2 linked regions of the Kluyveromyces lactis genome follow. The protein of the gene in region 1 purifies or fractionates together with the protein of each later gene. This does not show direct contact. Links are inferred from orthologs where the notes say so. Each region holds a gene or a part of one and is shown in the gene's direction. Other genes may lie near its edges.

Region 1 (4,359 bases):
CCAGTGTTTTTTCTGCTGAAACCACTGTAACGTCAGTACCATTCCTGTTTTCACTCTATTTTTTTAACATTCCCTTTTCAATGTGTTTTTCCTTTTTCTTTGCGAGCATAAACGATAGGGTTTTCTGAGAAAACCCCATTGGTGAATTTCCAAAAGACGTCATCCTGTCATGTAGTTTTCTTTGGCTTTGTTTCTTTTGCTCGGCAGGGTTTCGAAACTCTATAAGACGGAAATAGAAGCACGTGTACGTCGGTTCAGAAGGATGCCATTTTGGAGCCTGCAAAGCTCAGAAACTCCAGTAGCTGGAAAGGTAAACAAAAAAAAAAGGCACAAGAAGGACCAGATCGACACAATAACCGCATACTGCTGGGGTTAGCAAAACGGAAAACGAGAAGCGATTTGGGAAATTGTTTGAAAATACGGGAATATGCGATGTACCTTAGTGTAGATGGAAGGTGTTCATCTGTTTGCTGTTTGAGACAGGAAGTCTCCAGTAGACTTTTTTCCTCAGCTACATACCTGCACTACTCAGTTTGTGAGTGTTCTTCTTCCAAGAAAGACCAGTTCAGCAGTAACTTTTAGTTCTAGATTTGCGAAAAGCCTGACAGATTAGGAAGGGTTTAATACCGCCAAGAGTTTAAATGTTGCTGGGACCACACCATTTTTTGGTACCTTTTTCTCCTCGTTTAACCTCATTTGCGAAGTGTTGGGGGAAACATTTGCCTTATTGGTACAGAAAAGAATTCAGTAACATGTATTGTTTTGGTTAAGCCGTGGGTGGTTTTATATTTGGAGCTCTTTCCATTCTTAGTGTGTTGATCTTTTTTTTTATTGTTACTGGCGGCCAGAATTTGAAGTTGATGCTTCGAATGACGGAGAAATGGTTGATGGAAAAAAAGGAAAAATGAGGGGGGTAAAAAGAAAGCCCTGTGGGGGGCTCGAACCCCCAACCTTGTGATTAAGAGTCACACGCGCTACCGATTGCGCCAACAAGGCAGAATTGATGTCTGGTGGAGTCCTTTGCTGACTCACATCAGAGACGGTCGTCATGTGATAATAATAATAATAATAATTCATCATTCTTCTCTTTTTTCTCACGTGACTTGCGAGGAATATCAAACGGACGTGGTGAAAAAGAAAAGAAAGAACTTTTGCAAAAATTGAAATATCAGCTTTTGAAAATTTTCAGCTCATCTCATCTCATCTATATCTAGATTCTTTATTCACTACAGTCTAATTGACAAGCAACAACATTCAATTAACTAAAATACTCTCTCTTCTAAGCTTGAATTCCATTGTTTCGAGGATAGCTTGATTTTATCTTCAAACAGCATTTTCGATTACTTCAAACCGAAAACCATTGTGCCTTTTTTCACTGTTCTGACCTAATATACGTTATCTGCTCTATCATAAAACCGGTGGCTAATATTCGCAGGATTCATAGGAAGCGGGACAGTGCTAATAATAATACCATTAAGATATATCAGCTGTTACCATGTCTTCGGTTATTCTTCCTCCACAAGCTCCAGTTGAGCGTTTGAACAGAACTGCTAGTTTCAGGACTTTGGAAAGAGAATCAAGATTTATTAATCCTCCAAAGGATAAATCTGCATACCCATTCCTAGCGGACGCTGTACAGCCACACATTGGCTCCTTCAATGCATTGACTGAGGGACCTGATGGTGGTTTGTTAAACCTAGGGGCAAAAGATATTGGATCCAAAGTTATTTTCGATGGTAAGGGATCGGACACTAACCCAAACTACTTGGGTAACAAATTATCTTTGAGTATTGAACAGGTGTCTATTTCTAAACCAACTTCTAACGATGGTGTTTCTTCTGCAGTAGAACGCAAGGTTTTCCCATCTGAATCCAGACAGAGATTGACTTCATACAGAGGGAAAATTTTGCTGAAGTTGAAATGGTCGGTCAATGATGGTGAAGAAACTTTTACTGAAGTAAGAGACTGTGGTGGTTTGCCAATCATGCTTCAGTCCAATAGATGTCATTTGAACAAGATGTCTCCATACGAATTAGTCGAACATAGGGAAGAATCTGATGAATTTGGTGGTTACTTCATTGTTAATGGTATCGAAAAATTGATCAGAATGTTAATTGTGCAACGTAGAAACCATCCAATGGCTATCATTAGACCTTCATTTGCTAACAGAGGTGCCTCCTACTCCCAATATGGTATTCAGATTAGATCCGTTAGACCAGATCAAACATCTCAAACTAACGTCTTGCATTATTTAAACGATGGTCAAGTTACCTTCAGGTTCTCTTGGAGGAAAAATGAATATTTAATTCCAGTGGTAATGATCTTAAGAGCACTATGCGATACCAATGATAGAGAGATTTTTGATCACGTTGTCGGTGGAGACACCTCTAATTCTTTCTTGACAGATCGTCTTGAATTGTTACTACGTGGCTTCAAGAAGAGATACCCAACTCTACAAAACCGTAAACAAACTTTGCAATATTTGGGTGACAAATTCCGTGTTGTATTCCAAGCCTCTCCCGATATGACCGATCTGCAAGTCGGCCAGGAACTTTTAAACCGTATTGTTTTAGTTCACCTTGGTGAAAACAACAAAGACAAATTCAACATGCTATTATTCATGATCAGAAAACTCTATTCGTTGGTTGCTGGTGAATGTTCCCCAGATAATCCTGATGCAGCTCAACATCAAGAAATTCTATTAGGTGGGTTCTTGTATGGTATGATTGTCAAGGAAAAAATTGAAGAATACCTACAAAACATCAGGTTACAAATTCAAACAGACATAAATCGTGGGTTAGCTATCAACTTTAAGGATCAAAAATATATGAACAAGGTGCTTATGAGAGTCAATGAAAACATTGGGTCAAAATTACAGTATTTCTTATCTACTGGTAATTTGGTTTCTCAATCTGGTCTAGATTTGCAGCAAGTTTCTGGTTACACTGTTGTGGCAGAAAAGATTAACTTTTACCGTTTCATTTCTCATTTCCGAATGGTGCATAGAGGTTCCTTCTTTGCTCAATTAAAGACTACTACCGTTAGAAAGTTGTTACCGGAATCCTGGGGTTTCTTCTGTCCGGTGCATACTCCAGATGGTTCTCCTTGTGGTTTATTGAACCATCTTTCGCATAAATGTAAAATTTCTACTGAACAATCAGATGTTTCAAAGATACCTTCCATCTTGTACTCTCTTGGTGTCACTCCAGCTGCACACGTCATTGCTGCTGGTCCTTCCATGTGTTGCGTTCAGTTAGATGGTAAGATTATCGGTTGGTGTTCTCACGAACAGGGTAAGGTCGTTGCTGACACTTTGAGATTCTGGAAAGTGGAAGGCAAGACTCCGGGTTTGCCTGTAGACTTGGAAGTTGGATATGTTCCACCTACCACTAGTGGTCAATACCCCGGTCTTTTCCTCTTTGGTGGTCATTCTAGAATGATGCGTCCGGTGCGTTATCTTCCATTAGATAAGGAAGATATTGTGGGTCCATTTGAACAAGTATATATGAATATTGCTGTGACTCCGGAAGAAATCGAAAATAACGTTCATTCCCACGTTGAGTTCTCTCCAACAAACATTCTTTCTATCTTGGCTAACCTAACACCATTCTCTGATTTCAATCAATCTCCAAGAAATATGTACCAATGTCAAATGGGTAAACAAACCATGGGTACTCCTGGTGTGGCTCTATGCCATCGTTCTGATAACAAATTATACAGGTTGCAAACCGGTCAGACACCAATTGTTAAGGCTAACCTCTACGATGATTATGGTATGGATAACTTCCCTAACGGTACCAATGCAGTGGTTGCGGTTATTTCTTACACTGGTTACGATATGGATGATGCAATGATTATCAACAAATCGGCTGATGAAAGAGGTTTTGGATATGGTACAATGTATAAGGTGGAAAAGGTCAATTTGTCTATGAACAGAAGCCGTGGTGATCCAATTACCCAGCATTTCGGATTCGGTACAGACGAGTGGCCCAAGGAATGGCTTGAAAAGCTTGACGACGATGGTTTACCACTGATAGGTACCTACGTTGAAGAAGGTGATCCAATTTGTGCATACTTTGATGACACCTTGAATAAAACGAAGATCAAAACTTACCACTCTTCTGAACCTGCATATATCGAGGAAGTTAAATTAATTGGTGACGAATCTTCAAAATTCCAAGAACTGCAAGCAATTACCATTAAATACCGTATCAGAAGAACTCCTCAAATCGGTGACAAATTCTCTTCCAGACACGGTCAAAAGGGTGTCTGTTCTAGAAAATGGCCAACTATTGACATGCCGTTCAGTGAAACAGGTATTCAACCAGATGTCATTATTAATCCTCATGCTTTCCCATC
Region 2 (4,470 bases), on another chromosome or scaffold:
GATAACAATAGACTGGAGTCATTGGGAGAAATGGATAAGATATACGTTTATGCTGGTGAAAATAAGCCGAAAGTCGAGCTTACCAAAATCAAGAACGTGCCGCGAATTGAAGAGATAATAAGGTATTTACATAGGATGCAAGATGTGTTTCAGCTGCAACTAAGAGCTGTGGAAACAATTACAGGAAACTTAAAGATAAAGTCCAATTCGCATAGTGATGATACTGACGATCATGACAAGCCGTTTTACATTTTAGAATATTGCGTCGCTGAAGATACGTATTCTTTATGGAAATCACGTTCAGAATGGAAGTTGAGTTCTGCAATAGCAACTTTATACGGCAGTAATACGTTAACGGACTTACCTGATCGTCTAGTTGAAGCATTGAAAGACTCACAGCATATCTTCATGGTCAGAAACCTACTTAAAGAGTTCAACATTAGGGATACCATGAAGATCGATTGGGACTCTATTGCCACTGACCTTATGATATTTTTTGAAGCCAGAGAGTTGAAGAAACCAATTGATCCTTATGAGCTTAAAACATCAATGGCTCTTTCTCTGCTTAGATCTATGGTTGACCTTAATAAAAGAGAGCTTGGCTCTACCCTTCTATCGTATGATGTTAAAGTCCATCAGGACAACAGCCCAGTTTCATCTCCTCCTTCCGCTTCCACTAAAGCTAATAAAAATATAACGTTTCAGTCTGATTACACACATATGCCATCAACCCAACTTCAATCAAACTTCAACACTTTCTTCCAATCCATGGCTGAGAATTTCGAGACCTATGACACGGAAAGACAACCTTCTACGAGATCATTGAGGTTGCCGTCATTTGCAAAGAATAAAAAAACACCTGCCGGACAGGTCCATAAACCTGCTAGGAAGGGGAACGGAATGTCTATCAACTAAAAATAAAAATTCTATTACTCAAATTTGTCGATCTCGAATTGTTAGGTTCAGTGCGCCTCTTTTGTACCCCCCAACTGAATGCAGATATCTCAAGACGAAGTTGCTCTCATCTATTTGATACATTAACATCTATATTTAAAATATACAAAAAGAAAATAAACGATACCATCAAAAAAGGAATCTTACTTAAAATCTCTGATGTTAGGAATGACAGGCCCTCAGGTTGCGGTCTTCTCCATATCATTATTCACTAACCATTAACATATTTACGTGTTTGCCTTATGTACATAATACAATAGCGCTTAGCTTCTCAAATCATATTAAACGAAGGCGGCATTTCTGTCAAAACCTCTATCTATTTTAAAGTTGAACATTTCATAAATGAAGAGAACCAAATTATATCAACAAAGAACAAAACAAAAACAAATAGTCGAGACAGTTGTATCTATCGGCAGTGTCCTTGGGGTTACAATTTGAAATCAACTCCATTGAACTGGTCGCAAGAGTATTTTTATAAACTCAAACAGGTGTGATCGTTTTCTTGCAATGTTTAAGTTGCAAGTTGTGTTGGTGCCTGCGGGCGCTAATAGAAGTTTCAATTTTGGTTTACCTTCTGTATCATCAGAATCCTCTCAGTTTATTCTGCCTGTCCAACAACAGGTTCTGCAACAGGGAGGAAATGCTCCCCAATTAGCGAATAATATTCCGGCTCAGAATGGAATTGGGGCTCTAGACCCAAATGTATCAACAAATACAGCGTATCTTTCCAGTTTTATGACCTCCCATATCACAAGACCGAAACTCAAAAAATTCTTAATATTTACGAAACCAACAAATACGTTATATCAGCTCTCGCAGGAAATATTAGACAAATGTAACAAAATTTACCCCAATTTATCAACAGAATTAGAAATCGATACCTTACAAGATGTAGATGAATGTGATTTGGATCCTGATTTTGTCGTAAAAGATGTGTTCAATGTTTACAATACAGTTCGCGTAATCTTAAGAAATGATGTTGACTTAGAATCTAATCCAGATAGGCAAGAATCATTATACTCTTCCAAGAGAAGAAAGTTGAATAACGGGAACTCTCAACAAAACACCTCGACAGGTGCAACATTAGATCAACCCGTAACAGTTGCAAAAAGGAGACCGCAAGCATTAAAAAACTCTGCATTGAGGATATCTACACCCTTGGCGCACCAAATTTATCCTCCTCCGAGTCAAAGAAATCCGAAACAAGTAAATTCTGACTATGAAGAGGATGAGTATGGGGATGATGAAATAGGTGATAAATCCATTTTACCACCTCCAACTGTTCCTCAATCCCCTCCAATTAGAATAAGTTCAAGTATTGCGCAAAAACGATTGAAAATTAACGGCTCAGAAGATACTGTGTCAAAATCAGAAACAGTCGATCCAAGTAAAGCTAAACAGCAAAGATTACCATCAGGCACTCCAATGAAACCAATGAACGTTATAGAGACACCTAATAGACCAGGTTTCTTAGCAATGCCTCAGCAAGCACAGCATTTGTTAAGAATTAATTCTACTCCGGTGGTCACCAATAAAAGGATTACTTCAGGAATGCTACGCATTCCCGAACCCAGGATTTCGGAGATGGAAAGAACAATGCATGAAGGTCTTTCTTCTCCAGCTGCTGGCCTTCTGCCACCTAAGTCAGCTAAAATTCCAATGAAAAAACAGTATATTCCTGACGAGCACGATTCCTCTAGCTCTGAAGGAGAATTTACTGAAGACAAAGAAAGCGTTCCGGTCCGAGTCAACTCAAAAGCTCCATTGCCAGTTAGTGTGCAGAGTCGTGCACCTTCATCCATTGCCGATGATAACGGTTCTCCGACAAAGAAAAGTCCTCTAGATGCTACTAAGCGCATGAATGTCAAAGTAGCTGACCTTCCACCACAGAGGAAAAGTTCTTTGGAGGCGAAAGTGGAAAAATTAGCTAAAAATGCATCAGAACTAGTAGCTGATAACCATTTATCAAGCAATACTACGAGAAAAGAAGGGTTCAGTGAATCGGAATCTGAAAATGCAGAAAGTGAAAATGAGGCCAATGATACTGTATGCATTCATCCAACTGACCGAATGGATGGTAGTTTCCAGAAATCCGAGTTGCTCGAATTATTGAAGGGGTCTAAATTCGATGTCCCTCCGGCCTTCAGAAGAGCTGCTGGAGCTTTACAGGAAAATGATATTAATAAACGATCGAGAAAACCATATCTTACGGTATTAAACAAAGATATCGACAATAGTGAACCTGATCCAAGAAATATCCTACCTTCAAAGCTCCCAAGACAGGCTGCTCAAAAAGCAGCCCAATTCATCTCTACAGGAACCTCAAGGAGACCGTTGCAGTCTTCGTCTTCTTCTTCTTCTTCTTCTGCAGTCGTTAGTGAAGAACCATCTTCAGATAGTGACATTGAAACAGAAAATAGTGATAATAGCATGGATGAAGTCAACCTCAAAAGACTAAATGTGCATCCATTAAGACCAGTTATGGTACCGGTTGAGGAAACTCAGGATACAAATGAGCTTAACAAGACAAATTCAGCTAATTCATCATCATCCTCTTCAGAAGAAAGCGAAAGTGCTGATGAACCAGGAAATGAGGAAGGAAAAGCTGCTGGTTCAGAAAATCCACAGAAATCAGAAAGTAAGGTCGACCAAATGAAGAGTGTTTCCCAGCCTGCCAAAGTCACTAGCTCGAGGCTAATAACATTGAAGCCTGTTGATACACCCAAGGAAGTGACGCCGTCGCCTTCGATGCAGCTACATGATAAGATAGATCGCCAGCTTTCGCCTTCCCCTACTAGGAATAAAAAGGATTATATCTCCCCTGAGTTCATAGAGGATTCCGATGGTGATGCTGAAAATGAGAATATAACATTATCCCAAAGATCCCAAAATAACAAAGAAAACACGGAACCCTCCTTTAACAAAGAAAATAGCGAAGACATCAAACTGAAGAAAATAACACCATCCGTATTGAAAAAGAAGCAAGAAGCAGAACAAAGAAGATTACAGCGAGAAGCAGCCAGAAAAGCGAAAGAGGAAGAGAAGGAAAGAAGACGGGCCGACAGAGAAGCTGCTAGAAGAGCAAAACAAGAGGAGCAAGAAAGAAAGAGAGCTGAAAGAGAAGCTGCCAAAAGAGCGAGACAAGAGGAGATTGCTCGCAAGAAAGCTGAATCTACAACGAAAAAAGGACCGAAAGAAACTAAGAAAAATGGAGATATAACCCCCAAGGTAATTGAGAGAGCAGAGACCGAATCTTCGGCCAACGGCACACCTGCAAAAAAAGCTGCTGAATCTGGTGTACAGTCACCTGACTCTCCATCAAGAGCATCAAAGTTAGACGAACTACGGAATAAATTCGCTGTTGGGAAAGCGTCCATAACAGGTCCGCCTAAGAAAACTATTAATAAACCTATCAAACTTCAGTTGTCTTCTACTTCAACCAGCAATACAAGTTCAGATTCCGACGGCTCTTCAGGTTCAGAGAGCTCAACTTCGTCAGAAAATGAAACATCTATG

Evidence for each region.
Region 2: the proteins of RPA135 (region 1) and KLLA0_C09394g purify together in Saccharomyces cerevisiae (affinity purification with western blotting; 4 studies listed by BioGRID, with this or other methods). This does not show direct contact. The link is inferred for Kluyveromyces lactis from reciprocal best matches to the Saccharomyces cerevisiae genes RPA135 and NET1.

The regions. Positions count from the first base shown.
Region 1 is NC_006038.1:556,528-560,886, reverse strand, and holds the start of RPA135 (DNA-directed RNA polymerase I core subunit RPA135), read left to right. Parts: upstream 1-1,495; coding exon 1,496-4,359. UniProt on the Saccharomyces cerevisiae protein: DNA-dependent RNA polymerases catalyze the transcription of DNA into RNA using the four ribonucleoside triphosphates as substrates. Component of RNA polymerase I (Pol I) which synthesizes ribosomal RNA precursors.
Region 2 is NC_006039.1:816,464-820,933, forward strand, and holds the start of KLLA0_C09394g (uncharacterized protein), read left to right. Parts: upstream 1-1,461; coding exon 1,462-4,470. Other genes in the region: chromatin-associated RNAPIII regulator FPT1, read left to right, coding at 31-915. UniProt on the Saccharomyces cerevisiae protein: Has a role in chromosome maintenance and is involved in mitotic exit. Inhibits the action of CDC14 by sequestering it in the nucleolus. Also binds to RNA polymerase I and stimulates rRNA synthesis.